Linked DNA regions of Elephas maximus indicus. The protein of the gene in region 1 purifies or fractionates together with the protein of each later gene. This does not show direct contact. Links are inferred from orthologs where the notes say so. Each region holds a gene or a part of one and is shown on either strand. Other genes may lie near its edges.

Region 1 (6,874 bases):
ATGTTTGCTAAGTGTAGAGTAACAAGCGGCAACTCTGAGTCCGCCTCCTTAGGTTGAGAACCTGGCTTTGCCACTTTCTGTGTGGCCCTGGGCACAGCTCTTGACCTTTCTGTACTTATTTCCTCATCTGTAAATTGTAATCCTCACACCAACCACATAGGCTTACTTGTTTAAATAAGATTAAACAAGTTATACTCAAAGCACTCAAAACAGTGCCTGACACTTAATAAGCCTTATCAAAGTGCTAGCTATTATAAATATATTATGTATAGCTATAACACATAAGGAAACCCTGGTGGCATAGTGGTTAAGTGCTACGGCTGCTAACTAAAGGGTCAGCAGTTTGAATCCACCAGGGGCTCCTTGGAAACTCTATGGGGCAGTTCTACTCTGTCCTATAGGGTCGCTATGAGTCAGAATCAACTCGACGGCACTGGATTTGGTTTTCGGTTTTATAACACATAAATATAATATGTATTTTTATTATTAGGAATTGGTTGACCTGCAACCATTTCAAGAGGTAGCATATGATCAGGAACCGATGGTACTGATGCAAGAGGTCCAAGCTGCACTAAAGGCACGGGCAAAATACAAGTCTCTAGGAATTGATGGAATAACAATTGAGATGTTTCAACAAACAGAGGCAGCTCTGGAAGTGCTCACTCGTCTACGCCAAGAAATTTGGAAGACAGTTACCTGGCCAACCCACCAGAAAAGATCCATATTTATGCCTATTCCCAGGAAAGGAAATTCAACCAAATGCAGAAATTATCGAACAATATCATTAATATCACACACAAGAAAAATTTTACTGAAGATCATTCAAAAGTGGCTGCAGCAGTATATCATCAGGAAACTGCCAGAAATTCAAGCTGGATTCAGAAAAGGATGTGGAATGAAGGATATCATTGTTGATGTCAGATGGATCCTGGCTGAAAGCAGAGAATACGAGAAGGATGTTTACTTGTATTTTATTGACTAATCAAAGGCATAGTGTGGATCATAACATCTGTGGATCATAACAAGTTATGGATAACATCGGGAAGAATGGGAATTCCAGAACACTTAACTGTGCTCATGAGGAATGTACACGTAGATCAAGAGGCAGTAGTTGGAACAGAACGAGGGGGCACTGCGTGGTTTAAAATCAGGAAAAGTGTGTGTCAGGGTTGTATCCTTTCACTATACCTATTCACTCTGTGGAAACCCTAGTGGCGTAGTGGTTAAGAGCTACACCATTAACCAAAACGTGGCAGTTCGAATTCACCAGGCACTCCTTGGAAACTCTACAGGACAATTCTACTCTGTCCCATAGGATTGCTATGAGTTGGAATCAACTTGACAGCAACAGGTTTGGTTTTTATTCATTCTGTATGCTGAGCAAATAATCCAAGTAGCTGGACTATATAAAGAGGAATGTGGCATCAGGACTGGAGGAAGACTCATTAACGACCTGTGTTATGCAGATGACACAATCTTGCTTGCCGAAAGTGAAGAGAACTTGAAGCATTTGGTGATGAAGACCAAAGATCACAGCTTTCAGTATGGATTATACCTCAACATAAAGAAAACAAAAATCCTCACAAATGGACCAATAAGCAGCATCACGATAAACAGAGAAAAGATTGATGTTGTCAAGGATTTCATTTTACTTGGATTTACAATCAACACCCATGGAAGTGGCAGTCAAGAAATCAAACAATGCATTGCTTTGGGCAAATCTGCTGCAAAAGATCTCTTTAAAGTGTTGAAAAGCAAACATGTCACATTGGAGATTAAGGGGCGCCTGACCCAAGCTATGATGTTTTTGATTGCCTCTTAGGCATGTGAAAGCCGGATGATGAATAAGGAAGACCGAAGAATTGACACCTTTTAATTGTGGTGTTAGCAAAGAATATTGAATATACCATGGACTGCCAAAAGAACAAATAAATCTGTCTTGGAAGAAGTACAACCAAAATGCTCCTTAGAAACAAAGAGAGCAAGGCTACGTCTCACATACTTTTGGACATATTATCGGGAGGGTTGATATCGGGAGGGTTGAGTCTCTGGAGAAGGATGTCATGGTTGGAAAAGTAGAGTGTCAGCGAAAAAGAGGAAGACCCTCCGTGAGGTGGGCTGACACAGTGGCTGCAACAATGGGCTCAAGCATAAGGATTGTGAGGATGATGCACGACCGGGCAGTGTTTCATTCTGTTGTACATAGGGTTGCTATGAGTCAGAACCTAACCAAAACAACAACAATCTATAGATATAACACATATCAGTATTAAATGCTAGCGTCATCTGTTTTTACACTAATGCATCTCCACTGCCTAGAACAGGGTCCACCAGGGCTCCCTTGTCTGGAACCCGGTAGGTGTTTAATGAATATTTGTTGAATGAATGAATCAATGATGGATTTCCCTTTGCCCTCACTTCAGAGTTTCATTACCCTTCCAAAGCGTGTGTGTGTGTGTGTGTTCAAGGCCCAAATCAGAGGTTTAATGGAAGTTTATGGGCAGGTTGGGTCGTACCCCTCATTGTTTCTCTAGAAAAACGCGTCCAACCTACAAAGTGACTTCTGGAGAAGTAAGTTGGGAAGGAAAATTTGCATGGCATGTTATCAGGAGTAACCTTTGTTTTATTCTAGAGTTAAAAGTTGCCTTCTCCAAGCAAGGCTTATTATAGAGTGGAAGTTGTGAGTTAATCTGAATTTCATTTTTTCTCTTTGCTCTCAAGGGAAGTGAACAGGCTTCTGAACACTCCAAAGTGTTCATGTAGCCAACAAAAGGAATGTTTTGCAGTCACACAGACCTGGATTCAAATGGCACCACTGACCTTTAGCTGCCCTACAATCATGGATTTACTTGGCCTGAGACTCACTTTTCTTACCTATAAAACGTAGGAAGCCTTGGTGGCATAGTGGTTAAGTACTATGGCTGCTAACCAAAGGGCCAGCGGTTCAAATCCACCAGGTGCTCCTTGGAAACTCTATGGGAGTGTCGGTATGAGTTGGAATCGACCGCACAAAATGGTGATGGGAACGCAGTTATTGCGCATTTTTAAACCACTTACGCCTTATAACAAATGTCATTTATTACTGGCATCTCTAAACTGGTGCCTTGGTGGGGATTCAGGAGAATAAAAGGTAGCTCCCAAGGTTCTCCGAAGTCCAGGGAGGTGTGGGCTTTCCCCTCCCACGGCTAATAAGGGGCAAAGCCTGAAGGTTTGGGCGAAACGCGCCTGGGCTAAATCTATGCTTCCTTTCAAATTAAATTAACCTCAAAATCTACACACCCTCGTAGGGACTGAGAATAGGCAGCCATGAAAAATGAAGTGAAAATTGAGGCAGTGAGAGAGTTCATGTGCGTCGGAAAAGGAGCGTTAGAGTCAGCGGGGGTGTGAGTGTGCAAGGGAGGTTGGCGGCGGGCGGCACAGTTCAGCTGGCGAAGCGGAAGGCAAGAACTCCCTGTCCTGAGTGAAAGCGAGGCCCAGTGAAAGCGGCCAGAGACGAGAATTTCGCTTCCCGCCCAGCAAATCCCGGCTTTGACTACCGCCGGCTCCCTGGGCCCTTCGCCCCGCCCCCAGCAGGTCATCGGACTCTACCATTATGCAATTACAGGGGTAGAGGAGAATCGTGGGGTAGCGCGTCAGAGAAAATTAGAGTGTTTTATAGGAAAGTATGATTATATATTATGATTATTAATATTCTAGGTTAATATGCTTCTTCCTGAGGCCTGAACTGTCTATACTTCTTGAAGCGTGGTAGAATCCAGCCCTGCTTCACTTTTTCTTTTTCCGCATTTGGTACAGTCCCCTGCTGTACGTAGGCGGGGGAGGCGTACATAAGCCTCGACGCAGGAGGCGGGGTTGCTCAGTCCTCGAGGCGTCGGTGTTCCGTGGTGGTGGAATCTTGTTGCTTGTCGGCTTGTGCGCGCGTGCGCGGACATGGCCTCAAACGGTATGTGTGTGGGCGCGAGGCGGCGGTGGCGCGCCAGCCCTAAGGCCTCGTTTCCTTGTAGCTGGGCTTTTGTTTTTCAGTGGGACCGGGGCGGCGACTGCGTGTGGAATCGTCTCCACGCACCCCTGGGGCGGGAAGCAGCGGAGAAGGGTGGGAGGGGGAGGCCGATGTCGCCATTTTGTTTCGTTCCTTCGGGGCCTGCGAGCGCGGGGTGGGTGGGTCGGTCTTCCTTTTACTTGAGGTGGCTGTGGGGGGAGGGTGAGGAACGTTTCTTGATGATTTGAAGCATGAGGTAAGGATGGAGACGGTCGGACCCAGGAGAGGCTTTTCCTTCGCTCCCAGCCCCGCGCTCTAGACCGCTTTGTCGCAGTGCTGCATCCGGGCACTCGGTGCGCGCACGCGCTCTGGCGGTCCCTCCCCTTAGCTGCGCGCACCCTTCTGCCGCCTCGTGCTAGCCCCGTTTTTTGTCGCGAGGCCCTCCGCTGGAGAGCCTGCGGCGTGCGTCCGGTGTGACACCGTCTCACCCCCGGGGTCCCTCGGGAAGGGGCGGGACTGCTCCGTTCCCGCCTTGGTTGCCACGCGGCTGGGGGCGGAGGCTCGGGATCAGGGCCACGCACTGGCCTAACGGTCTGGGGGCAACAGGAAGAGAGACCAGGGGATTTGGAGACCAGACCCGAGGATTTTCCCGCCTAAATTTTTTTTTTTTGAGATGGGAGCCGAAAGGCACGGCCGCTCGGGCCACACCCTCTTCCCTTTTGCCTTTCCCTTTGGGGGAAACGCCTCATTTCCTGTACGGATGTTCGTACCTCTTTTAATCTGGCGTTATAAAAGCGCTTTCGCTCCGTTCGGTTTGCCGAGTCTCCCCAAGGCTCCAAAGAAGGCAGGGTGGATGAGGAAAGAACTCTCAAGCTTCACAGGACTGGGGACTTGAGTACCATTTGCTTCCTGAGGCGAACTGATGGCTCTCCTGTTTGGGGCCAAGGGGGGGGCGGTTCTTTTGGTTGCCTGGGTTAGTGCCAAAAGCCCACGTTGGCCGATCTGTAAGATTGGACAGAAGTCGGAAAATGGACACTTGAGACAAGAATGTCTTTGGGTTGAAAGAATGGAGACAGCATTCCGAGCGTTCCTACCTCGGGCTTGAATTCAGCCCTGTCTCTGACGTAGGGCATGTTACTCTGTCTTTACTCTTGGTAGTGCTTTCCTTAAAGAGTGGTTGTGAAAACGCATGTAAAATGTTTTAGAGCTGTTCCTTTGCAGAAAATTGTAGCTGTTTTTCCCTTTGGTCACTGCAGAGATTTGCGTTTTCTTTGTATGGTTATCATTCTTTGCTGTAAGAAAATTTGACAAATCCGCCAGCTTGCCCCTCCTCTCAACTAGAGTCTCATGGGGTAATTTATGTTTTTGTAAGTCTTGCTTGTTGTTTTTTCTTGGAAATCCCAGTGATTGAGTTAAGGAGTTTTAGCTTTATCCTACTCTTTCAGGATTGGCTGAAGGTAATGTGATTTGTATTTTCTTTTTGCAGATTATACCCAACAAGCAACCCAAAGGTGAGTGTTGAGTCTCAGCTTCCAGGGTTTGTACAGGGCAGGGTGGCCAAGGAGTCTTTCTCTAATCTGGTTTTTTTTTTTTTTTTTTGACCAGCTACGGAGCCTATCCCACCCAACCTGGGCAGGGCTACTCCCAGCAGAGCAGTCAGCCCTACGGACAACAGAGTTACAGTGGTTACGGCCCTTCAGCGGACACTTCAGGTTATGGCCAGAGCAGCTATAGTTCTTCTTATGGACAGACTCAGAACAGTGAGTCTCTTTTAGTGGGCACTTGACCTATTCCTGCATTGAGTGTTGCTTTTCTTAAACCTGAACAGTGGGGAAATGTTGAAATTGTCCTTTTTTTTTGGCACATAGCCTGTCTATAAAATGTAGAACTTCTCTGGCCAGAGTCTTTTGTTTCAAACGGAAATACATGTTGGTTTGTAACTTTTTTTCCTGCCTTTGGCTTTTTATCTTTTTAATTTTTGCTGGACCTTTTCACATTTCCCCTTTGATTATGAAAGTGAAATGTGGGGAGGGTATTCCCTGAACAGAGGAACATTTTTTAGGCTTAGGTATGGTTTACTTAAAGATGTTTAAAGTCCTGTTACCGTACAACACGTGATACACTAGGAGGTTGAATTTGCCTTGAGGCCCAGAAGGGTAAGTAAATAAGGTGAGTGGTGTTGTATGTGCTGAACACATAACCAGCATGTTAAAATGCTATTAATAAATAGGATTTTTTGGGCTACAATTAGATGGTGGTCTTAGAGACTGTCTTTGGGTCTCTTTGAACTAAAGAGTTGATAGTAAGTTGAGGCAGTAGACTTCAGGTGGAAGAGAAGTGTAAATTTAAGGCTTTGAGTTACAAGATTCACTTGTACCTTCTAAGAGGCTGACTTTTCAAGTATGGGTGAGGATCAGTTAGTGTATTGGTTACGTAGCATTGCTGTAACAAATACCACAAGTAGTTGGGTTTAACAATCAGAAATTTACTTTTTCACAGTTTAGGAGGCTAGGAGTCTGAATTCAGGGCACCTGTTCTAAGGGAATGCTCTCTCTGTCCACTCTGGGGGAAGGTCCTTGTTTCTTTTCAGCTTCTATTCCTAGGTTTCTTGGCCATCATGTGGCTTGTATTGTCCCTGTCTCTACTTGCCTGCCGGGTTACTTGCTTAATCTGCTTGTTTTATATCTGAAAAGTGGTTTAAGACACACCCTAGACGGAATCTGACTCATTAACATAACAAAATCTATTCTGAAATGGGATTATAGCCATAGGGATCAAACCCACTGCCATCTAGTTGATTCTAACTCATAGGAACTCTATAGGACAGAGTAGAACTGCTCCGTAGGGTTTCCAGGGAGTGGCTGGTGGATTCAAACTGCAGACCTTTTGGTTAGC
Region 2 (7,837 bases), on another chromosome or scaffold:
GTTGTTCCAGAATGTGACAAAGGGAAGCATAGGACAAATCTGCTGCAAAAGACCTCTTTAAAGTGTTAAAAAGCAAAGATTTCACTTGAGGACTAAGGTGTGCCGACCCAAGTCATGGTACAGTGGCCCCTCCTTACCCAAGGTTTCACTTCCTACAGTTTCAGTTACCTGAGGCCAACCTCAGTCCAAAAGTGTTATATGAGTAGCATACTGAAATTTTGTGCCGTCCCACTCCGTCCTGCCCAGGGACCACATTCACATAACTTTTATTACACTATATTATTGTAATTATCCTATTTTATTATTGTTGCTAATCTCTTACTGTACCTGATTTATAAATTAAACTTCACCATAGTTATGTACGTATATATAGGACCAAAAATAGTATATATAGGGTTCCGTACTATCCCCAGTTTCAGGCATCCACAGGGGATCTTGGAATGTATTCCCTGCAGATAAGGGAGGATTACTATATTTTCAATCACGTCATATCATGCGAAAGCTGAACAACAGATAAGCAAGACTGAAGAACTGATGCCTTTGAATTACACCGTTGGCGAAGAACACTGAATTTACCATGGGCTGCCAAAAGAACAAACAAGTCTGTCCTGGAAGAAATACAGCCAGAACGTTCCTTAGAAGTGAGGATGGCGAGACTCATCTCATGTATTTTGGACGTGTAATCAGGAGGGATTAGTCCCTGGAGAAGGACATCATGCTTGATAATGTAGAGGGTCAGTGGAAGAAACGAAGACCCTCCATGAGTTGGACTAACACAGAAGCTGCAACAACCGGCTCAAGCATAGCAAAGATTGTGAGGATGGCCCAGGACTGGGCAGTGTTTCATTCTGTTGTACATAAGGTCCCTAAGAGTCGGAACTGTCTCAATGGCACCTAACAACAACAACAACGGGACAAACCCAGATGGAAATAAAAGTTAAAACTTGATGCGTTTTTCTATAAATCTGTTAAAGAAAAGGTTTTATTTAAGGAAATAAGGCTACGCCAATTACCAAAAGACTAGTAAAGACAAAAGAAAGAGTTGAGAGACTCTTCCCAACAGGGCGGAGATATTTAAAAACTGGATAAATAAGGCGGATATTGATTGGGTTAAAATAAAACAAACGCTGTCTTAGTAAGAACCATAAACAAGTCCTCTCTATTGTAAAGAAATTTTTAAGAAGTAAAAACATAAAAATCACAATAAAAATGCATCAAAATTGCTTGGAAAAATGGTTCCATCCCTGTGGTGGTCCAAAACCAGTTGACGAAATCTTAAAAGGGCTACAGTTAGATTGAAAAATATGGAAAATGGTGAAAAGTTTGGAAAAAAATTTAAACTATGTAAACAAATTTTATTTTAACAGTAATTGTTTTGTGGTATATAGGCTTGTAGATAATTTTCAAGATCTTTACATAACTTAAAACCTTTGGATTGATACCAAATTGGGTTAATTAGTACATAAAATTCATTGTCGTGGAATAGATTCTGACTCATAACAACCCTATAAAATAGAGTAGAACTGCCCCATAGGGTTTCCAAAACTGTAATCTTTGTGGAAGCAGAAGTGATTGCCATGTCAACAGGCCCACCTTTCTCTTAGCAGCCAAGTGCTTAACCCCTGCCCCACCATGGCTCCTTAAGTGGGATAATAAACTAAAAAAAAAAACAAAACCTGTTGCTGTTGACTCAATTCTGACTCAGAGCCACCTTATAGGATAGAGTGGAACTGCTCCATAGGGTTACCAAGGAGCAGCTGGTGGATGCCAATTGCAGCCAAGTGCTTAAACACTGTGCCACCAGGGCGAAGTGGAATAAGAAACACCATAAAAAGCCTCTCATCTGCTCAGGGCAGGTTTTGCTGCCAAATGAGGCCACATTATGTTTTGCCACCAAAAAACCTATCGATTTACAAACTGTTTTTGGATTTGGGGATGTAGATAAGGGACAGGACTGGTAGTAATGTTTATCTCCTGCAAATAAAAAAAATCTAATTAGGCCTTTAATCCTTTCTGAGCAGATTTCAAATACATGAAAAAGTAGTATAATGAATCTCCATTTACCCATCACCCAACTTTATTACCAACATTTTACTTTAGTTTTCTTTTTTTCAAATAAGAAAATCTAACTGGGCAAAAGCACTTTGGTAAACAAAAACATTTCAAAAGAGAGGTCTGGAAGGGAAACACTAACACAGCATTCTCGTTTTGCGGGGACACAACAGTACCTTCTGTGTCTGAGTCACTGAGTCCTCCTCACTATTTTTCGCACATCCAAGGGACACAGAAGGCATTACTTTCCGAGTAATGAAGAGGAAGCGCTCCCCACTCAGGAAAGTGAGGAGGAGCAGCTCAGGAGCCTCAGGTTCGGCTGCAGGCGGACAACCCTGGCCAGTCAGGTGAGCTCTGGCCAGGGCTCCCGGTGAGACCCCGTGCTCCGCCCGCCTCCCCGCTCCTCTCCTTTCCCGCCCCCCGACCAAAGGACAGCGGAGCACTCACATCTTCCATGGCCCGTGTGCGGTGGTCGGAATTGATCTGGTCCCGGAGCTGAAGACAGACAAACGGTGACACAGACGCCGTTAGTCCCAGGCCTGGGGGTGGAAAGGCCGCCCGAGGGCGGAGCTTACCTTCGCAGGTTCAGCGGCAGAAGCGAAGAGGCCGCCGGGGCGCTGGGCCTGAGGAGGAGGTTGCCGAGGCCGGAGCTCGGAGAGGGAGCCCCCGGGAGGGTGGGGGGCAGGAGGAGGGCGGGTCTGAGGCCAAAGAGCGCGCTCGGCGGCTAAACCCGGGGAAGGGGCCCAGACCCTACTCACCGTGGACTTCTTAGTGAGCATCTCTTTGGCCATGACGTCCATGAGCCGTTCCCTCTCCTCGTGGTATCGCCGCTGCTGCTCCAGAATTGTCTCCATTTTTCCCTTGGCCGCTGTACCTCACTTCAGATCAGCGACGCGGCCAGAAGCAGCTCCCGCCGCCTTGAGCGCCTGCGTCCCCACGCGGCACGTCCGGCTGCACTAGAGTTCCGTAAGTGCCGGAAGTGCCTTGGGGACTCGAGGAAAAGGGGCACCGCGAGGAGCGCCAGCCTGTGCTATCGCGATGGCAGCATTGCCCCCTGCTGGTCGGGGTGTGTGGCCCGCTACCGAGCGGTTTGCAGATTCCTCTGGTGGGCGAATGGAAATCCAAGAGCCTGAATTCAGCTGCTGGCTTCTTAGGGCTTCACGGAGCTTCGTGGGGCCGTCTGGGCCGCTGGGGATCCTGTCTGGATTCAGGAGCAGTTGAGGAGCACGCGATGGGAATTGGAGGATCAGAACTTGAGTCCCTAGCTTTCAGGGTGACCTCTGACAACATTTGCCTCTTTTCTGGACCTCAATGTCCTTTTCAGTAAAATGGGGATAATAACAGATTTTTTTTTGTAGAAACTTACAAATGGAAACAATTTAATTGCCTTTCAGCGGGGTGCCAACCAAACCAAAAACCAAACTCGTTGCCATGGAGTTGATTCCGGTTCTTTGTGACCCTATAGGACAGAGTAGAACTATCTCATGGTGTTTTCAAGCGTGACTTGTGGATTCGAACTGCTAATTTTTTGTTTAGCCCACGTGGCTCTTACCACTCTGCCACCAGGGTTCACAGCAGCAGACTTAAAAACAAACAAACAAAAAACCCCTTAGCTGTCCAGTTGATTTTGACTCATAGCTACCCTGTAGGAAAGAACAGAACTGCTCCATAGGGATTCCAAGGAGCGGCTGGTGGATTCCAAGTGCTAACCTTTTGTTTAGCAGCCAAGCTCTTAACTACTATGCCACCAGGGCTCCAGCAGACAAAAACAACCAAACCCATTGCGGTGGAGTTGATTCCGACTCATAGTGACCCTGTAGGACAGAGTAGAACTGCCCCATGGAGTTTCCAAGGAGCTCCTGGTGGATTCAAACTGCCAACCTTTGATTAGCAGCTGTAGCACTTAACCACTAGGGTTTCTGGGCTCCAGTTGAGGACTAGATTGATAAAGTGTAGTACATCCAATCATTGAAAAAAAAAGGGGGAAGAAATCTGTATATTCATTTCTAGGTAGAGAAATGAAGACCTACAGCTGTGTGCTTATATGGGCATCTGTTTATAATTCACAATTGACAGAAAAACTGGACACAACCTAAACTGGTGAGTGTATAAACCAAATTCGGCATATCCACGTAATGCTACAATATGGAGGAACCTTGAAAACATAATGCCAGTTAAAAAAAAAAAAAAAAAAAGCCAGTAAAAAAAACCTAGATACTAAAATGACATAGTGTATGATTCCATTTATATGAAATGTTCAGAAAGGCAAATCCATGGAGACAGAAAGTAGATGAGTGGTTGCCAGGGGTTGGAGGCAAGACTGGAAGTGACTGCAAATAGACACCAAGTATCTTTTTGGGGTGATGGAAAGGTTCTAAAATTGGATGGTGGTGATAGTTCCACAACTCTATTAATATACTAGAAATAATTGAATTATACATTTAAAATGAGTGAATGTTACGGTTTGTAAATTATACTTCAATGAAGCTGTCAAAAAATCAGTGTGAACTCATGTGAAAAGATGGCCAGGAAAAGTCAAAAAAGGTGGATGCTCAACAGTGTGTATAAAAGATATACAGAGATGATTTCTGTAAGAATATCCAAGTAACACTAAACAATGGTTGTTTTCCAGAAGATGGACTGGCACATGTGGTATGAGAGAAAAGTTTTTCTTTGTATATACCCAAAATACAGTGTGAAAAGTTTTGTTTAATGTATTCATGTACTATTTTTTTAATTTAAAAATAAATTTAAACTAAAAAAATATATATATGCATGTATATGCTTAACAAAAAAGGACTAGAAAGCTGTAATGCATCAAGGAGTTATTTTTTTACCTTTTGTTCTCTTTACTCTTTGGTAGTGTCTAATTTTTCTACAAGGAGCCCCAGCAGAGCAATGGTTAAGAGCTTGGTTGGTAACCAAAAGGTCAGTGGATTGAACCCCCTAGCGGCTTGTGGGAGAAAAGACCTGGTGATCTGCTCCCGTAAAGACTACAGCCTAGGAAACCCTATGGGGCAGTTCTACTCTGTCATATAGGGTTGCTAGGCACAGGGTAGGCACTGGACTGGTTTTTATGAGTTGGAATTGACTTCAGGGCACAGAACAATAACAATTTTTCTACAAGGAATACACGTTGCTTTTTGCAAAAAAAAAAAAAATTATCTTCTGGTTTTTAAAGTTTGAAAAATAAAATGGGGGTAATGACCCTTGTCTTGCCTACTCATGAGGGTGTTGTGAGGATCATATTTGCATCTGAAAATATAAGCAAGACCTCCAGTGTTTGAGAATGGGGGACCCCAGGCACAGCTGCCCTCTGGGGCTTTTCCTGGGCCCCTAGGAAAGAAGGGAGAAATCTCCATTCTGGAGTGGAGTAACTCAGGGTGTTTATTATTATTATTTTTTGTAAGGTTGGTGATCTGTCCTATTTCATCCAATAAGAGATACCATCAAATGTAAAACTTACCATTATTTTAAGCTCCAAAAAGAAAGGAAAACTGTCAAATTATGACCCAGTTTTATAATTGACACTGTCAATTATAAAATGCATCTCAGGATTCTGAGATCTTAAACCTGGAAAATGTCTTGAAATCAATGAAATGTGGTATCGTACCAGGGTATCTCTTCCTCTTAGGTGGGTGGAACATTTAAGCACCGCCATTCATTCCTTCCCTTTGCCTCAAACTTGATGCCTACCTCCTCCTAAACCCCTTTTCTATCCCCACTCCATCAAATCAGTCCTGTCTTTTCCACTCCTACTGCCACCTGCCACCTGCCTCATCCTCTCTCACCTGGACCACTGCACCACCCGCCTAACCAGCTTGCTCATCTTACTCCTCCAATCCATTATTCATGCCACAGCCCAAGTGATCTTTCCAAAACTGCGATCATCTCACGCCCCTGCTTGAACATTTCCATTAGCTGCTTTACCCGCAGGGTGAGGTCTGTTTAACTTGGCACTTGGCTTTCCGTGACCTGGGCTTTGCCTGCCATTTTAGTCTCCTGGCACTTTTTCCAGATTAAATTACTTGGTGCTTCCCCAAAGCACCATATGTTTTCAGGCCTCCAGGCCTTTGCACCACCTGTTTTCTACGCTTGGACTGCTCCTACTCGACAAATACTCACCGAACTTGTAGTAAGTGCCGGGAGCTGGGAATGGAAGGGGAAACAAGGGAAGCCCCAGCCCAATTCTGACGGTCAAGGAGAGAAACAAAAACGTAAACATGCAATTATTAATCATGGTAAGCGCACTGGGCACTGGGAATGGTGTGTTGAAAATGCCAACCCTTTCCTCAGATAGTTTAGGACTGGGCCCGGGAGGCAGTGTAATGCAGATTAGAATCCAGGATTAGTGACTACCTACAAGACTTTGGGCAACCGCCTGAGTCTCGGTCTTCTCCTCTGTAAAATGGAAGTAATGCCCCACAGGTTTCTGGGAAGGTTTAACGTGAGCTACATCTGATCGCGCGGTTTCCGCCGGACTAGGAGTGAGCCCCACCCCACAGATCGCCCACGGTCCGCCCGCACCCTCACACCGAGGGGCGGCTGCCGGCGGTCCTCTGTGTGCGCATCAGCCCGCGCGTGCCGCGTGCGCGCGCAAAGCTGCCTCCACCAGTCAGATGGCGGCGGCCCAGACCGCAGGCCGCCGAGGGGGCTGGGGGCCCCGGCGTGGGACGCTGGGTGAGGGGTGCAGCGCTCCGCCCCATCTCCCCACTTCGGGGGTTAGCCCTCCACGCTCATTCACGCCCCCGCCCGTGAATCACGGGGGAGGGGGCGGGGCCATGACCCATTCATGCCGGGAATTGGATCCAGATGTTCCCGCGGCGCGTGCAGCTGCATCCTTGCCTTTTTTGGCAAAAAACGTGCGGCCGCGAGAGCGGATCCCGGGCCGCCCCCGCTAATCCCTGGGAAGAGGGGGAAAGCGGGCTGAGGGTCTGGGCTCAGACTGGGGATCCGGACGAGGTGCTCTGCAGGATTTGAGAAGGGCTGTGAGGGGTGGGGGCGATCTGTACCAGAGGTAACCCCACTTCTACTCCCGCCCCCCCCACCCTGACCCTCCTTTCCCCACAAGGAGGAGAAAGCCCTGTGCCAGCAGGAGGGAGGCCCGCTAAGCTTGAGAGGGATGGTAGCTGTGGCTGGGAACCCTTCTTTCGGGATTCCTTCTTCGGGAGGGACTTCCCACCCTGAGTCCAGGCCACCTCCCTCTCAGCCCCGCACAGAAGAGGTCTAGGAAGAGCTTCAGCATCTCCTGGTCCGCAAAGGAAGCTTCCTTCCCTCCCCTTCCCCCAGACAAACACATGAGGCCGGAGCTTTCTCACACTGCTTTATTACAGAATCTGGAGGGGGGAGCCCCATGGCCACCCCTCTGCCCATCTCTCCGTAAAATGGAGCTGAAATGAAATGAGAAGACACTCGGTGGACACAGAGCTCCTGCACGCTAGGACCCCCACCCCCAACCAGCAACCCCTGCCCTGCTGCTTAGACAGCCCCAGCCCTAGTGATGGGATTGGAATGGGGCCAGAAGAGGAATCAGACCTGAGTATAGCCCACTTTTTAGGACTTCTCAGGCACCCACAGAAGACCAAACGTCTTTGGAGAGAAGTCTAGATTTAAGGGGATCTGGGTTCCAGGGCCCATGTTTGGAGGGCTGGGGTCTAGAGCTCTGATTTGTGAAGGGGCCTTTGTCTGAGACCATGGGGGAGAGGGCTGAGTTCTGGAGTTGGGGTGGGAGCTTGAATCCTGGAGGCTCTATAAGAGGCTGGGTCTGGGGACCCTGGGTCATGGA
Region 3 (7,138 bases), on another chromosome or scaffold:
TCAGGGCCAGCGGACTAAAGGCTTGGCAAGCTCTAAGAGCGCCGTCTAAGGGTGGGAAACAAAACTGCTTTCAACTTCTTGGGCCCTTGACTGCCCAGATAGTTCAAAATACATAGCCACAGAGGGACTGACAAAGTGGGGAAGACTCAATGCCTGTTTTTGCTGTGAAAATTCCAAGTTGAGAAGATAATCAGGTGTAGGCTTCTCATTACAGTCCTAGTGCCCCCAAGACAACAACCAATGAAAAATGCCTGAACGACAACTGGGGACCTCTGAAGGCAGCTGGTCCTATCAATTCACCTGGTACAGCCCCAGTAGCTCCTGCAGGAGCCCCTCCTCCTGGGGCCCACCAGACTGCTCCTCCAGACGCTGCTCCTCCTGGCTGAGCCCCTCGGCCGTGGGTCTGGGGACGCTCGTGGCCTGAAGCTTCTGAAACAAGCCTCTGCAGCTCTCCCTCTCTGCATGACTCAGCAGGCTCAGGTTCAAGGTGAAGCGCCCAGTGCTGGTCAGGCTGTGCAGGATCCCAAGAATGGCCGCCCGGTCACCTGGCCTCATATGATCAGCCAGTGCCACCAGCAGCTCCCCTAGAAGTCCAAACCCCACATCCATCTGGAAGAGGCGGCCCAGCCTTGGGCCCCCGAGCTGCAGCAGGGCCTGGTAGCGCTCTGGCCCACTCCTCAAGTGTCGCCGCCAATCGCGGTAGAACTCTGCTGAGGTCTCGGGCTGGAAGAGTGTTTTCTCCTAGACCACAAAGGAAGAAGGAAAGGGAGACCAGAGCTCTTCCAGCTGCTCTGGGACAGTGAGGGCAGCCTGTGGGTTTTCGTCTTAGCTCTGGTACTGCTCTTTGAGCACTGCGAAGGCTGCAGTCCTGTGGGTCTCATTTTCAGATCAACTAAGCCATGACTTGAGATTCTCAGTTGTACCAGGGTAGTCTCTCTGATGAATGGGGACATATAGCCCTGGTCTACGAGAATAAGTCAGAGTTTACTCTGAGCAGGGTGAAGGGGATGATTGGAACTCAAGGTGAGTGTCAAGGATCTGACAGGCTGGGTCTCCCTTCAACACTGCCACAGAATCATTACACTATATACACCACAAGTCGGAGATGGAGAGACCCAAACCTGCTCTGGGAATGAAAGTCGAAGGGCTGGCTGAAGGGGGCCTGCCCAGCACATCTTTCTGACTTGATCTGCCCAGTTCAACTTGGCCTCAGCATTCACTGGCTGCTTTGCTTTCTGGGATCAGAGTCAGAAACCTGCCTCTGGTCGCTTAACATGAAAACAACAACAGTAAAAACAACTAAAAAAAAACGTGTTTGATTACATAGGTATATAAATACGCATAAATATGTACAGAAAGGCATATATGAGTAACTGTAGGCATATATGTGTATATATACATGTTCATGTGTGATGCATATATTTTCAAGTATAAAATAAAGCACATAGTAGATTGGACCATAAAATAAATAATATCACCTGTGAGTACTGTGTTCCTCAAAATAATCATCTAGATGAAACCAAATGGTTAACATTTGCCCTAGACCAAACATGAGAAGGCTAGGAGGGACAGGGAAGCTAGATTAATGGAAACAGAACAACCAAAATGGAAATAATGAGAATGCTGATATATTGTGAAAAATGTAACCAAACTCACTGAACAGTAAGTACATAAATTGTTAAATGAGAACCAAATTTCCTGTGTACACTTTCACTGAAAATACAATATTTAAAAAAATAATAATTATAAGGCAAAGGTATACGTTGTGAGAAGACAGGTTTGGGAGTTTAGGGCAGAGAACCTGCTGGGGAAAAAGGCTGGGCCTCACCTACCTGGAATATTTCAGTGCCCTCATCCTGGGAGGTGCTTTCCTGAGTAGTGTGACAGTTCCAGGGTGCAGTTCTCTTCCCTCCCATCTTGTCCTTCTGCTCCAGAGGTTTCAAATGTGAAGCAAGGACAATACCCCTGTGGGCAAAGAACAGAGACCGAGGGGGTGGACTTAGTGCTGTTACAAGTGGGTGCAAGGAGGCTGGACTTTGCAGCATACCAGCTGAATCTGTTAGCAGACAGTCATGGACGGAATTGTGTCCCCCCAAAATATGACTTGGAATCTTAACCCCTATACCTGTGAACATAATTCTGTTTGGAAATAGGATTTTCTTTGTCATGTTAATGAGGCTATACCAGTGTAGGGCATGTCCTAAACCTAATCACTTCTGAGTTATAAAAAGAGCAGATTAGACACAGAGGAAAACACATACCAAGGAAAGCAGATACCATGTGAGGATTGCCAAGGAAACAAGGAACACCGGGGCTATCAACAAGGAAGGAATCAACACAGCCCAGACCCTGATTTGGACTTTTAGCCTCCAGAACTGTGAGAAAATAAATGCCTGTTCATTAAAGCCACCTACTTGAGGTATTTGTGTTACAGCAGCACCAGGAAGCTAAGACACAGGTCAAAATGACAATAATAATAATAGTGACAATAGTTGACAGTTTTTGAGCACTTCCTCTCTGTTTAGAGTATTATGTGCAATAACTCATTTAATCGTAACAATTGTTCTTACTTTATAAATGAGGAATTGAGACTCAAAGAGGTTATGTAAACCTGCACAAAAGATCACCCAGCTAACAGGGGGTGAGGCCAGAACTGAAGCCCAGAACTGACTCCAGAGCCCTTCCCTTTATTCACTATAGTCCAGCGTAACAGGGAGCCAACCTGAACTCCTCATAAGATGCCACCCTCTGTTCCACTGCCCGTAACTTGGCAGCATTCTCCCGCTTGTACTTCTCATCAGCAGTAAGTGCAGCCTGCAGCTCTTTCTCCAAAGCCTTGAAGTCGATGATGTCATTCCTTTCCATGACCTGTGCCTGGGAAAGCAAAGGGAATGGACATGAGCATAGGGTCATCGTCAGGGGGGAAGAGGAAGCCTCTGGATTCTTTGCCAGCCCACAAAATGACCCAAAAGCACTCTGGGTATCTCGTTACTTAACTTATCTTGGTGAAGAGGATAGTGATACAGAAATCTAGTTTTTTACTTTACAGAGGGGAGCTGAGTTGCACAGTGGGGACTTGCACAAGACTTGTTGTCACCGAAAACAGAATTTGGAGCCCTGTGTTTTGTTTTCTGCCTCTAAAAATATTTTATTTTTTTTGCTTCCGCTGAGGCTTTTGGATCTCAGAATTTGGTTCCTTTACTTTATAGCAAGTTATTGGGATAAAAGACCTCACACAAAAGCTGAACTATTGTCAGGTACTATAGAGCTCTAGAATAAAATCTAACCCTGCATTAAACGTCTTTAATGGGGAAGGATACTTTTCACCCAAACCAGATGCAATGACTGAGCAGGAAATGAAGAAGTGGCAGAGGAAGGGGGTCAATGATCCCTATCCTCAAATCCCTCTGTTCAGCCCAGGGCTGGAGCACAGGTCCCCATGGACTCGGGCAATCTCTTTAGTCCTGCCACTATACTTCTGTAGCCTCTGCGTTATCTGCAGGCAGGTTATCTATATGGGTTCTAGTCTTTGACATTTATTTGCTGTAAAATCTCTCTTTAACCTCCTGGTGGATTAGGCTAGATTTTGTGGCGGAGTCATCATCAACAGCCTTCGAAAAGCAGGCGGCCCGCATCCAGCCCAATAGTCACCAACGCGGAGAAACCAACCAAGCGCCAACAAGGGCCAGAACTGAATTCCGGCGTCCCGGTTCCTGCTAGTTCTAAATCATCCCCAATAGCTGAACTGAGAGAGAAACTAACCCTTCCGCCTCCCTAATTCAGTCACCGGGAACTTCACCCCAGCAGCCCGGGTCTCGGATCCCTTGCTTTCTTTGGGGATCCCCTGAAACATCAGGGAAAGAGGGCGCTCAGCGCAATCTACTCCTAGCAGCTGTGGTTGCTCAGCAACTGCCACAACAGCCTGCCCACGTGATCTTCTCGAAGGCCCCTTTTCGGGGTGGCTCCGAGGTGCCTGATCAGATTCATGCCTCCTCGGGTCATACTTTCTTTGGGACAGCCGCGCCTTATTTTGGGGACCCACAACTCCATCTCGGGCCTTCCTGTCTCCATGGCTGGCACTCCTCCGAGCCGGTCCTCAGGCGGAGGGTTGTCCTTCGGGGCAGGAACGCCCCCGAGGCGTCTGCGGGGTCCTTCCTGACTGCGGGCGCAGGCGCGGCGCGGCGTGGGACAGAGCGCGGCCTTCGGCGGCAGACTTGGGGCTTCTGGCTGAGCGGGCGCGAGGTGAGCTGGCGCAGGTCAATGGCGTGGGGACGTTGCTCCGGGTGGGATGGGAAATTATAAACGTCATATATGGAAAAGACGTTATATGCTGTCTGTCCCCCTTTCGCTTGGAGAAATTGAGGCCTGGAGCGGAAAGGGGACCGATTCAAAGAACCCTTCTCTCTCTACTCCCCCCCACCCCAATTCTGGGGTTCCCTCCGTATCGTCCGTCCGTAAAATCTCGTAGGTAAGGCTTACGTTCTGTCTGGTTCCCTCTCTTTCTCTTCTATCTGGGTCGCCTTCGCCCCTTCCTTCTTTTGGGACTCTGCGTGATAGCGAGAAGCTACAGTCAGGACTGGCACCAAAAGTCACTAACTGGTTTTGTGCAACTGTTGGCCAGTCAGCTAGCTTCTCTGTGCCTTGGTGGAGTCATTCATTGATTCAGTAAGGATGTATTGTTTTGTTCTAAGCGAACAAAACAGTCCTTGCTAAAATTGTAGTTGGGGTGATGAAGAGAACAGTGAGGGTACCTAACAGTACAGTTAACTACCATTCAAAGACATAAATGTTGATGAAGGTGTAAAGGTCTATATAGAACGTTGCTGTTGTCAATCATCATCGAGTCGATTTCGACTTATAGTGACCCCATGTATGCAAAGTGGAGACCCTGGTGGCGTAGTGGTTAAGTGCTAGGGCTGCTGACCAAAAGGTTGGCAGTTCGAATCCACCAGGCATTCCTTGGAAACTCTATGGGGCAGTTCTACTGTGTCCTATAGGGTCGCTATGAGTCGGAATCAACTGGACGGCAACTGCTCCGTAGGATTTTCAAGGCTGTGACCTCTCAGGAGGAGATCACCAGGCCTGTCTATCATGGTGCCTCCGAGTGGGTTTGAATTGCCAGCCGTTAGGCCAGTAGGGGACAGTTAAACATTTGTGCCACCCAGGAACTCTTCTAAAGGTACTACAGATAATATAAACAAATAAGTCTGGTTGTGTTCCAGTACAGCTTTATTTTTATTTATGTATTGTTTGTTTTATTGTATTTTAGATGAAGGTTAACAGAACAAACTAATGGCTCATCATACAGTTAGTACACACATTGTTGTATGACATTGGTTAACAACCCCATGACATGTCAACACTCTCCTTTCTCAACTCGGTTGTTGTTTTTGTTGTTAGGTGCCGTCGAGTCGGTTCCGACTCATAGCGACCCTATGCACAACAGAACAAAACACTGCCCAGTCCTGAGCCATCCTTATAATCGTTGTTATGCATGAGCTCATTGTTGCAGCCACTGTGTCAGTCCACCTTGTTGAGGGTCTTTCTCTTTTCCGCTGACCCTGTACTTTGCCAAGGATGATGTCCTTCTCCAGGGACTGATCCCTCCTGACAACATCTCCAAAGTATGTAAGAAGACACAGTCTCCATCCTTGCTTCTAAGGAGCATTCTGGTTGTACTTCTTCCAAGACAGGTTTGTTCATTCTTTTGGCAGTCTATGGTATATTCAATATTCTTCGCCACCACCACAATTCAAAGGCATCAGTTCTTTTTCGGTCTTCTTATTCATTGTCCAGCTTTCACATGCATATGATGCAATTGAAAATACCATGGCTTGGGTCAGGCTCACCTTAGTCTTCAAGGTGACATCTTTACTTTTCAACACTTTATAAGGTCTCTTGCAGCAGATTTACCCAACACAATGGGTCGTTTGATTTCTTGACTGCTGCTTCCATGGCTGTTGATTGTGGATCCAAGTAAAATGAAATCCTTGACAACTTCAATCTTTTCTCCATTTATCGTGATGTTGCTCATTGGTCCAGTTGTGAGGATTTTTGTTTTCTTTATGTTGAGGTGCAATCCATACTGAAGACTGTGGTCTTTGATCTGCATTAGTAAGTAATTCAAGTCCTTTTCACCTTCAGCAAGCAAGGTTGTGTCATCTGCCTAACATAGGTTGTTAATGAGTGTTCCTCCAATCCTCATGCCCTGTTTTTCTTGGTATAGTCCAGCTTCTCCAATTATTTGCTCAGCATACAGATTGAATAGATATGGTGAAAGGATACAACCCTGATGCACACCTTTCCCGACTTTAAACCAATCGTTATCCCCTTGTTCTGTCCAAACAACTCCCTCTTGATCTATGTAAAGGTTCCTCATGAACACAATTAAGTGTTCTGGAATTCCCGTTCTTGGCAACGTTATCCGTAATTTGTTATGGTCCACACAATCGAATCCCTTTGCATAGTCAATAAAACACAGGTAAACATCATTCTGGTATTCTCTGCTTTCAGCCAGGATCCATCTGACATCAACAATGATATCCCTGTCCTCTTCTGAAACCCGCCTGAATATCTGGCAGTTCCCTGTCGATATACTGCTGCAGCCATTTTTGAATGATCTTCAGCAAATTTTGCTTGTGCATGATATTAATGATATTGTTCTATAATTTCTGCATTTGGTTGGATCACCTTTCTTGGGAATAGGAATAAATATGAATCTTTTCCAGTCAGTTGGCCAGGAAGCTGTCTTCCATATTTCTTGGCATAAGTGAGTGAGCACCTCCAGTGCTGCATCTGTTTGTTGAAACATCTCAATTGATATTCATCAGAATCAGAGGTTGATTTTGATTATAACGAATTGGGCAGAGAGTCCAAAAATCTTGATGAGGACTTCTTCCTTCAGTACCATCAGTTCCTGATCATATGCTACTTCTTGAAATGGTTGAACATTGAGTAATTCTTTTCGGTATAATGACTCTATGTATTCCTTCCATCTTCTTTTGATGCTTCCTGTGTCATTTAATATTTTCTCAACCCTGGGTTCCCTATTACTAGCTACAGCTTTATTTTTAGACACTGATATTGTTGAATTTTATGTAATTAATTTTCCTGTGTTGTGAAATGTTAAAAAAATTTT
Region 4 (6,860 bases), on another chromosome or scaffold:
CTTGGATAGACCAACCTTAGAGCTGAAGTATGGACAGTGACATGAACAGCACAACTGCATCAACGTGTTAAAATTTAAGCTCACGTGCCTCATATAACCTACATCGTAAAAAATTGAACCTTTAAAACATAGGCTTAAAGTTTAAACAATTTGATGAATTATGAAAAAGTCCTTCCAGGAAAAATTGTTAAACTGAATTTTACTTAATTTGCCAATGTTTTAGTTTCTTTCTACTTTCGAAGCAGCTGTCCTCCATTGTCTGAAATTCAGTGCTTCTTCAGATGAACGCAACATGAACAGCTGTGAGAATTTTTCTGTGTGGCACCTTTCAAAAAAAGCCTACAACACAAGAGTTTTCTATTACATTGTCCTTCTCACTGAAAATCTAATGACGACGATGATAGCCCACTAGTCAAGGTTCCAAAGTCGTAGAAAATTAAATGTTTCCAAAAATACATTGGTATCAGCTATAAAAAGGAATGAAGTACTGATACATGCCACAGCACTGACAAACCTAAAAACATCATGCAGAGTTAAAAGAAGCCAGACACAGAAGGGCACGTGTTATACAGTTCCGTGTATACGAAACGCCCGTAAGAAGCAAACCCCTAGACAGGAATGAGATTAGTGATTGCCTAAGACCGTCAGAGGCAACATGAGCAGTGACTGCTTAATGAGCACATGGTTTCTTCTGGACTGACGAAGGTGTGAAATTAGACAGGGGTGACGGTGGTACATCCTTGTAAATACGCTAACAACCACTGATGTGTGTGCTTCAAGTGAATTTTATGGTATGAAAAACGTATCTCACTTAATACAAATGCAAGTCACCCGACTGTACGTGTAAAAAGTGTTGAAATGGCAAATATTTTATTACTTACAAACTTAGTACAGAAGAAAAATATGGGGATAAAATACCAATGCAGTACAAATACCCCAACAACACATTTTGGACCTAGCAAAGCTGGATCCTATTCGATTTGGAAAAGGCCTTGATGGTGAAACGGTGAGGTGCTCAGATACTAACCAAAAGGTTGGCAGTTCAAACCTACCCAGTGGCTCTGTGGGGAAAAGACCTAGTGATCTGTTCCTGTAAAGATTCAAAAACCCATTGGCGTTCGGTTGATTCTGACTCATAGCAACTCTATAGGGCAGAGCAGATCTGTCCCATAGGGTTTCCAAGGAGCTCCTGGTGGATTCAAACGGCCAACATTTGGTTAGCAGCTGTAGCTCTTAACCACTACACCACCAGGGTTTCCCCTGTAAAGATTACAGCCTAGAAAATGCTACAGGACAGTTCTGCTCTGTCACATTGGTCGCCATGAGTCTGAATTGACTGGACGGCACCTAACAACGTTCAGTCTTGGGTTGTTGTCATTTTCCTTGGTTTGAAGCCTGTATTTTGAAGCAGAAAGGAAGCCCAGCAGGGGTATTTGGTTGGTCAGGTCAGCTGGGGCAGCTTGAAAAGTATGCCTTCCTCTGGTTCTTTTTAATCCCAACGCCAACAGCAATTGCTTACTGCCTGCGCTTATCTTGGCTCCTCCAGCACCCTTGACACGACTGTTTATTAGGTGACAAAGAGTAAGCCTGCTTCTTTGAGCAGGGCCACTAAGGGTTAAAGAGATCCTTCCCCACCGGGCAGAGAGAACTAGACGAGTGCTAACAACCAGTTCTCCAAATTCTCTAAAAAGAACGCTGGCAGTGCAATGGTTAAGCACTCAACTACTAACTGAAAGGTTCGAACCCACCCAGAAGCTCTGTGGGAGAAAGGCTGTTGTTGTTGGGTGCTGCTCAGTCAATCCCAACTCACAGTGATTCTACAGGACAAGATAGAACTGCCCCCATAGGGAGCAGATCACCAAGTCTTTTCTGCTGCAGAGCTACTGGTGGGTTTGAACTGCTGACCTTTTTGTTAGCAGCCAAGCACTTAACCATTGCAGCACCAAGGCTCCTTCTCCCTAGAAAACCCTATGGGGCACCCTAGTCTGTCCCATGGCATTGCTATGAGTTAAAATCTACTAAAGGGCACACAGCAAGTTCTCCAAACACTCAAGCATCAAACAACAATAAGTACAAATGGATACCTTTAACACATTTCTTTGTAGTCTTCTTGCTGGTGACGTCTAACTCTATGTCAAGTTCATCAGGATCTTGACCTTCTTCCTTAACTGCCTACTAGGAAAAAACAAAATTTACAACATTATCAAATGCTGCCTGGCACCGGCTGTTCTTCATAAGTAACAATCTCCCAGTAAACAAAAGCAATTCCTTCTTTGTAAAACTCAACTCTGCTTCTGCTATCTGGGACTGCAAGCCCAAAAGGCACAGGATGGACTCAGTACAACTTGGGTTCTCTCTGGGCCCAATGCCCAAAGTCAAAGGAAAGGCACACCGCAGGGGTCTGTGAGCCGGAGCTCCAGCAATGGGGTCAATGACCAGGTCTGAAATGGGCACTGCCCAACCTCCTAACTTTAAGTTAATGCTGAAACAAGTAACGGACAGGCTGAACTTGATCCTGCATGGGTGAAGGGCTGGGTGGTGTTCAACAGGCCATCTTTGACCTCTGGGGAAGAGCAAACTGCCAGGTTAGGTTGAAGGTTGGTGGTTTCACTCATGAGGTATTTCAGTGCCTTCCATGTCCTTGGCATAAGAGTGGTCACTCAAACGGGAACTGACAAGGTTTCTACCCTGAAGCTTGTTCTAATAGTGGAGAGAATCCCCACGTATATTGGTTTGTGCTAACAGACTGCACAGGATGATAAAGTGGAAGACGGGGAGATGGAGCAACACTTTCAACAGGGCAGTTAAGGAAGTGACATATCACACAGACCAGAAACGATAAGGGGAGGAACAGTCCAAGCTGAGGGCACAGCAAGTGCAAAGGTCCTGAGGCAGGAACGGGACCAGCCCGCTCTTCCTGTAAAATCTCAAAGACTCTTCACACTCCCTGTTAGGTCGGCGACCCCATGCTCCAGGGGAGGAAACTGAGACGCACGGAGAGAGAGCAAGGCACTTAGCCAAGGTCATAGAGTTGAGACTCAAAGCCGAGCCCCGGGAGGAGGCCAAAGGCCACCCGGGTGGCTAAAAAGTCCGGCTTTCAGAGCACTTGAGGCGAGGGGTTGAAGGAGGGAAGGGAGCAGGGCACAGCGTGGAGTGGTGACGGGCCAAGGTCACAAAATCGGGTCCCCGGGTCCCGGACAGCTCGAGCCGGGGTCCCTACGAGGGGGACGGGCAGGGACGCCCCGGGCCCGGGCTCCAGGCCAGCAAGGGGGCGTGCCTCGGCCCCCCACGCCACCCCGGGGCCCCAAGCATCACCTTTTTGAGCCGCTCCATCAGGGCGCTCTTGTTGCCGCCCGTGTCCAGGTTCCGTTTCTTCAACTCCGCCCGCAGATCGATCACACGCAGATCGCTGAGCCGCCGCGTCCCGGTCTCTGAGGCGCTCGAGTCGACAGCGGCCGTGTCAGAGCCCGAGTCGCCCGGCCCTGCTAGAGTCTCCGCCATCCTGGGCTTCCCGTCTCCGTCACCTACTTCCCACACCGCCGGCAGCTGTAGAGGCTCTGAACACAAAATGGCGCCGCCTTAGAGGAAAACGCACTCGCTTCCTCCCGCCCCGCTTTCCGGCGCGCATGCGCGCTGCCCCAACCAGCGTTCTTAACCTCCCGCGCGCTCGCGCGCCGACCAACCGCACGCTCCCCGCCACAACGCGCAAGCGCCGTAACTGCAGCACGCAAGTTTCTCGGCCATCCCCGGCGGGAGGCTGCTGGGGCGCAACGCGCCTGCGCGCACCCCCCGCCAAGGCTTTTACCGCGCATGTGCAGATGCGTCCCGAAGCGTCGTCCTCGCGCCGAGTGCGTCTGCGCAAAAGCGAGGCGCGCCGGGGCGGCTGGAGCGGTTCCCTCTCAGGCGGCGCCATTTTGTGCTAGAAGCCGAGATTCAACCGGCCCGGTTCTGTGTGAAGTGGGCGGCGGAGCCAGGGTCCCTGGAATGGCGGAGACTCTGTCAGGCCTAGGCGATTCGGGTGCGGTGGGCGCAGCTGCTCTGAGCTCCGCCTCGTCGGAGACCGGGACGCGCCGTCTCAGCGATCTGCGGGTGATCGACCTGCGGGCGGAGCTGAAGAAACGGAATCTGGACTCCAGCGGCAACAAGAGCGTTTTGATGGAGCGCCTGAAAAAGGTAGATCTTTGGGGGGTGGGGGTGAAAAGAGGGTTGAGGGTCCCCGCGGCCGCGACGGTTGTTTCCTCGCCCTCAGGTCCGCCCCCGGCCCCGTTTGAGGCCTGCCCGGCCTGGCGCGAGTCCCCGCGCATCGCGCCGCTCTCGGCTGCCCCCAGGCCCCAGCGGGAGCTTAAAGGCCGAGAGCGTGATTTCTGAGGCCAGCGGGGCCCGGGTTCAAATCCCAGCGCTGCATTGTGGCGGGGAAAAGAGGAGGGGAAAAAAAAAAAAGCAATGCGGACGGGGGAAACGGTCTCGGTCCGCAGCTCGTGGTGACGGGTGACATCGGCCACGGGCTTGTGTTTTCTGCATCAGCCACTACGTCGAGGGCTTTCCTCTCGTTGTCTCATCCTATCGTCTGTAACTAGACTTGGGAACCTGAAATGTTCACCTTAAGGGACTCGGCCAAGGTCACACGGCCAGGAAAGGGTGGCGTCGGGGTTTGAATCCAGGCCGGCTGGGCTCCTGAGCGCGTTTTTCTCTGGGAAGATCCTCCTCGACCGTTAGGGCCCAAAAGCCCGGGGTATGGGGGTCAGTTACAAAATAAACAAAGAGGAAAGCGTTTAACGATTTACCAGCACTAATCGGGAGGAAATGAGAGGATGATGGTATTTAGTTATTGTTAGGTGACGTGGGTTGATTGCGACTCACAGCTACCCCATGTGTTACAAAGTGGAACTGCCCCTATAGGGTTTTCTTGGGTGTACTTTTTATGGGAGCAGATCGCCAGGCCTTTCTTCTACAGAGTAGCCGGGTAGGTTGTAACTAAGCTTTTCAGTTAGGATATCTCGCTTAATCTGCGTGCCATCGAGGCTCTTAGTATTTACTCAAACCGATTACCGTCGAGTCGGTTCCAACTCATAGCGACCCTGTACAACGCAGTAGAACAGCCCCAAAGGGTTTCTAAGGAATGGCTGGTGGATTCAAACTGCTGGCTTCTTTGGTTAGCAGCTCAAGCTCTTAACCACCACTCCACGAGGCCTCTTTGGTGTTTACAGTAGCAAATAAATGTATAGTACAGTAAGGCTTAGAGAGGAGTGAAGGAGAGCTGCGGAGCTTCACCAAGAGACGAGTAGGGACTCAGGGTTCTGCCAGGCCTTAGTGGCCTAACCATGGGCAGGCAAGGCATTTAATCCCATCTGAACTTGCTTTTTCTGTGCAAAGAAGAGAATAATGGTGCTTTCGTTTTAGGATTAAATTGAAGAGCATCAAATGGGCTGGGCATATTGCCTGGCCCATCTAAATAAGTCATCGCTATTTTATCATAGCTCATAACCGGGTTATCATAGCTCGTAACCAAAAGGTTGGCAGTTCAGATCCACCAGGCGCTCCTTGTGTGGGGCAGTTCTCCTGTGTCCTGCAGGGTCGCTATAAGTCGGAATCAGCTCGAAGGTAGCGGGTTTATCGTAGTTCACTCTTTTGCCACCATTTTGTTACCTGCAAAACAGGGGCTCTAACCTGGCGCAGTACTGAGTGGTGTTTCATTCTGTTGCGCACGGAGTTCCTAGGAGTCAGAACTGACTCGACGGCACCTAGCAACAACCCCGTCTTGAGAATTTTATTCTGAGGGATCGATGTGAAAAGCACAATTAAGTAAGTTAGTGCGCTTTTAAGGAGCCTGGTGGTGCAACGGTTAAGCGTTTGGCCACTAACCCGAAAGTTGGAGGTTCAAACCCACCCAGCTATACTGCCAAGAAAACCCCCTGGGGCAGTTTTACTCTCTTGCGTGGGGTCACCATGAGTGTGAATAAACTCAACAACACCTAACAACAGTGCCCTCCTACTCTCCTTGCATTTTCCTCATTCTTTTTGACTTCCTTCTTTGCTTGCCCAGGCCTTGGTATCTCTCCAGGGTAATGTCTCAGCCTTGCCACCTACCCCCCAACCCTGTCCTGCAGACGGTGGGGCTGGTGACTCATTCCACCCTTCTGTCTCCCAAACAACCGAGAATCAGGATTTCATTATATATTGGTATTAAGAGGAAGTAGGAATTATTTCCCGTTTCCCTGATGAGGAAGATGAAGCTCACCAAATGAAAAACCAAACCCAGTGCCTTCGAGTTGATTCCGACTCATAGCATCCCTATAAAATGAAGCTCAGGAGGGGTTATTTGACTTGCCCAGGGTTATTTGGGCTTTTCTAATGGAAGCCTCTGTTCTTTTTACTATGAATACTGTCTCCTTTTAGGCAGGGCAAGGAAGTTCTCTGACCAAGATGTGACCAAGAGGGTGGGAAGACGTGGTCTATTTTTCTTACCGATAGCGGGGCTCCCGTCAGCAAAGCCTAATCGAGGGTTTTTACCCTGTCCTTCCCAGGCAGCACGTGAGCCTGTATATACTCTACAAAGCTGGTATGATGGTATTGAATCTTCTTGTCAGTTTGCTGGCTGAGAGACTGGCTGTCGCTCCAGGAATCCCCCATCAGTATCATCTCTGAGGGGACAGATTATCCCTCCTCCTCTCTCAAATACCATCAGCGTATACTCCCGTCTGCTCTCCCGGCCAAAAAGGATACCGCTGTTTTTCTCTCCTGCTTTTGTCATCCAGTTAATATCTCTCTTATTTCTCTAAGAAGGGCAAAGGAACAGGAGATGGAGGGAACACTAATTTTGCAAAGGTCTACTCATGAGTTCTGCTCCATCCTAAAGAGTC

What was found.
Region 2: the proteins of FUS (region 1) and SF3A3 purify together in Homo sapiens (affinity purification with mass spectrometry; 3 studies listed by BioGRID and IntAct, with this or other methods). This does not show direct contact. The link is inferred for Elephas maximus indicus from reciprocal best matches to the Homo sapiens genes FUS and SF3A3.
Region 3: the proteins of FUS (region 1) and EFTUD2 purify together in Homo sapiens (affinity purification with mass spectrometry; 3 studies listed by BioGRID and IntAct, with this or other methods). This does not show direct contact. The link is inferred for Elephas maximus indicus from reciprocal best matches to the Homo sapiens genes FUS and EFTUD2.
Region 4: the proteins of FUS (region 1) and SAFB purify together in Homo sapiens (affinity purification with mass spectrometry; 3 studies listed by BioGRID and IntAct, with this or other methods). This does not show direct contact. The link is inferred for Elephas maximus indicus from reciprocal best matches to the Homo sapiens genes FUS and SAFB.

The regions. Positions count from the first base shown.
Region 1 is NC_064830.1:90,408,107-90,414,980, forward strand, and holds the start of FUS (RNA-binding protein FUS), read left to right. Parts: upstream 1-3,864; 5' UTR 3,865-3,930; coding exon 3,931-3,943; intron 3,944-5,465; coding exon 5,466-5,490; intron 5,491-5,584; coding exon 5,585-5,739; intron 5,740-6,874. UniProt on the Homo sapiens protein: DNA/RNA-binding protein that plays a role in various cellular processes such as transcription regulation, RNA splicing, RNA transport, DNA repair and damage response. Binds to ssRNA containing the consensus sequence 5'-AGGUAA-3'.
Region 2 is NC_064821.1:79,567,000-79,574,836, forward strand, and holds the start of SF3A3 (splicing factor 3A subunit 3), read right to left. Parts: upstream 3,021-7,837; 5' UTR 2,907-3,020; coding exon 2,811-2,906; intron 2,592-2,810; exon of another isoform or gene 2,548-2,591; coding exon 2,500-2,547; intron 1-2,499. UniProt on the Homo sapiens protein: Component of the 17S U2 SnRNP complex of the spliceosome, a large ribonucleoprotein complex that removes introns from transcribed pre-mRNAs.
Region 3 is NC_064837.1:51,315,679-51,322,816, reverse strand, and holds the start of EFTUD2 (116 kDa U5 small nuclear ribonucleoprotein component), read left to right. Parts: upstream 1-4,119; 5' UTR 4,120-4,242; intron 4,243-4,355; exon of another isoform or gene 4,356-4,468; intron 4,469-7,138. Other genes in the region: CCDC103 (coiled-coil domain-containing protein 103), read right to left, coding at 292-741, 1,833-1,965, 2,723-2,865. UniProt on the Homo sapiens protein: Required for pre-mRNA splicing as component of the spliceosome, including pre-catalytic, catalytic and post-catalytic spliceosomal complexes. Component of the U5 snRNP and the U4/U6-U5 tri-snRNP complex, a building block of the spliceosome.
Region 4 is NC_064821.1:8,789,643-8,796,502, forward strand, and holds the start of SAFB (scaffold attachment factor B1), read left to right. Parts: upstream 1-3,841; 5' UTR 3,842-3,984; coding exon 3,985-4,173; intron 4,174-6,860. Other genes in the region: SAFB2 (scaffold attachment factor B2), read right to left, coding at 2,085-2,172, 3,316-3,501. UniProt on the Homo sapiens protein: Binds to scaffold/matrix attachment region (S/MAR) DNA and forms a molecular assembly point to allow the formation of a 'transcriptosomal' complex (consisting of SR proteins and RNA polymerase II) coupling transcription and RNA processing.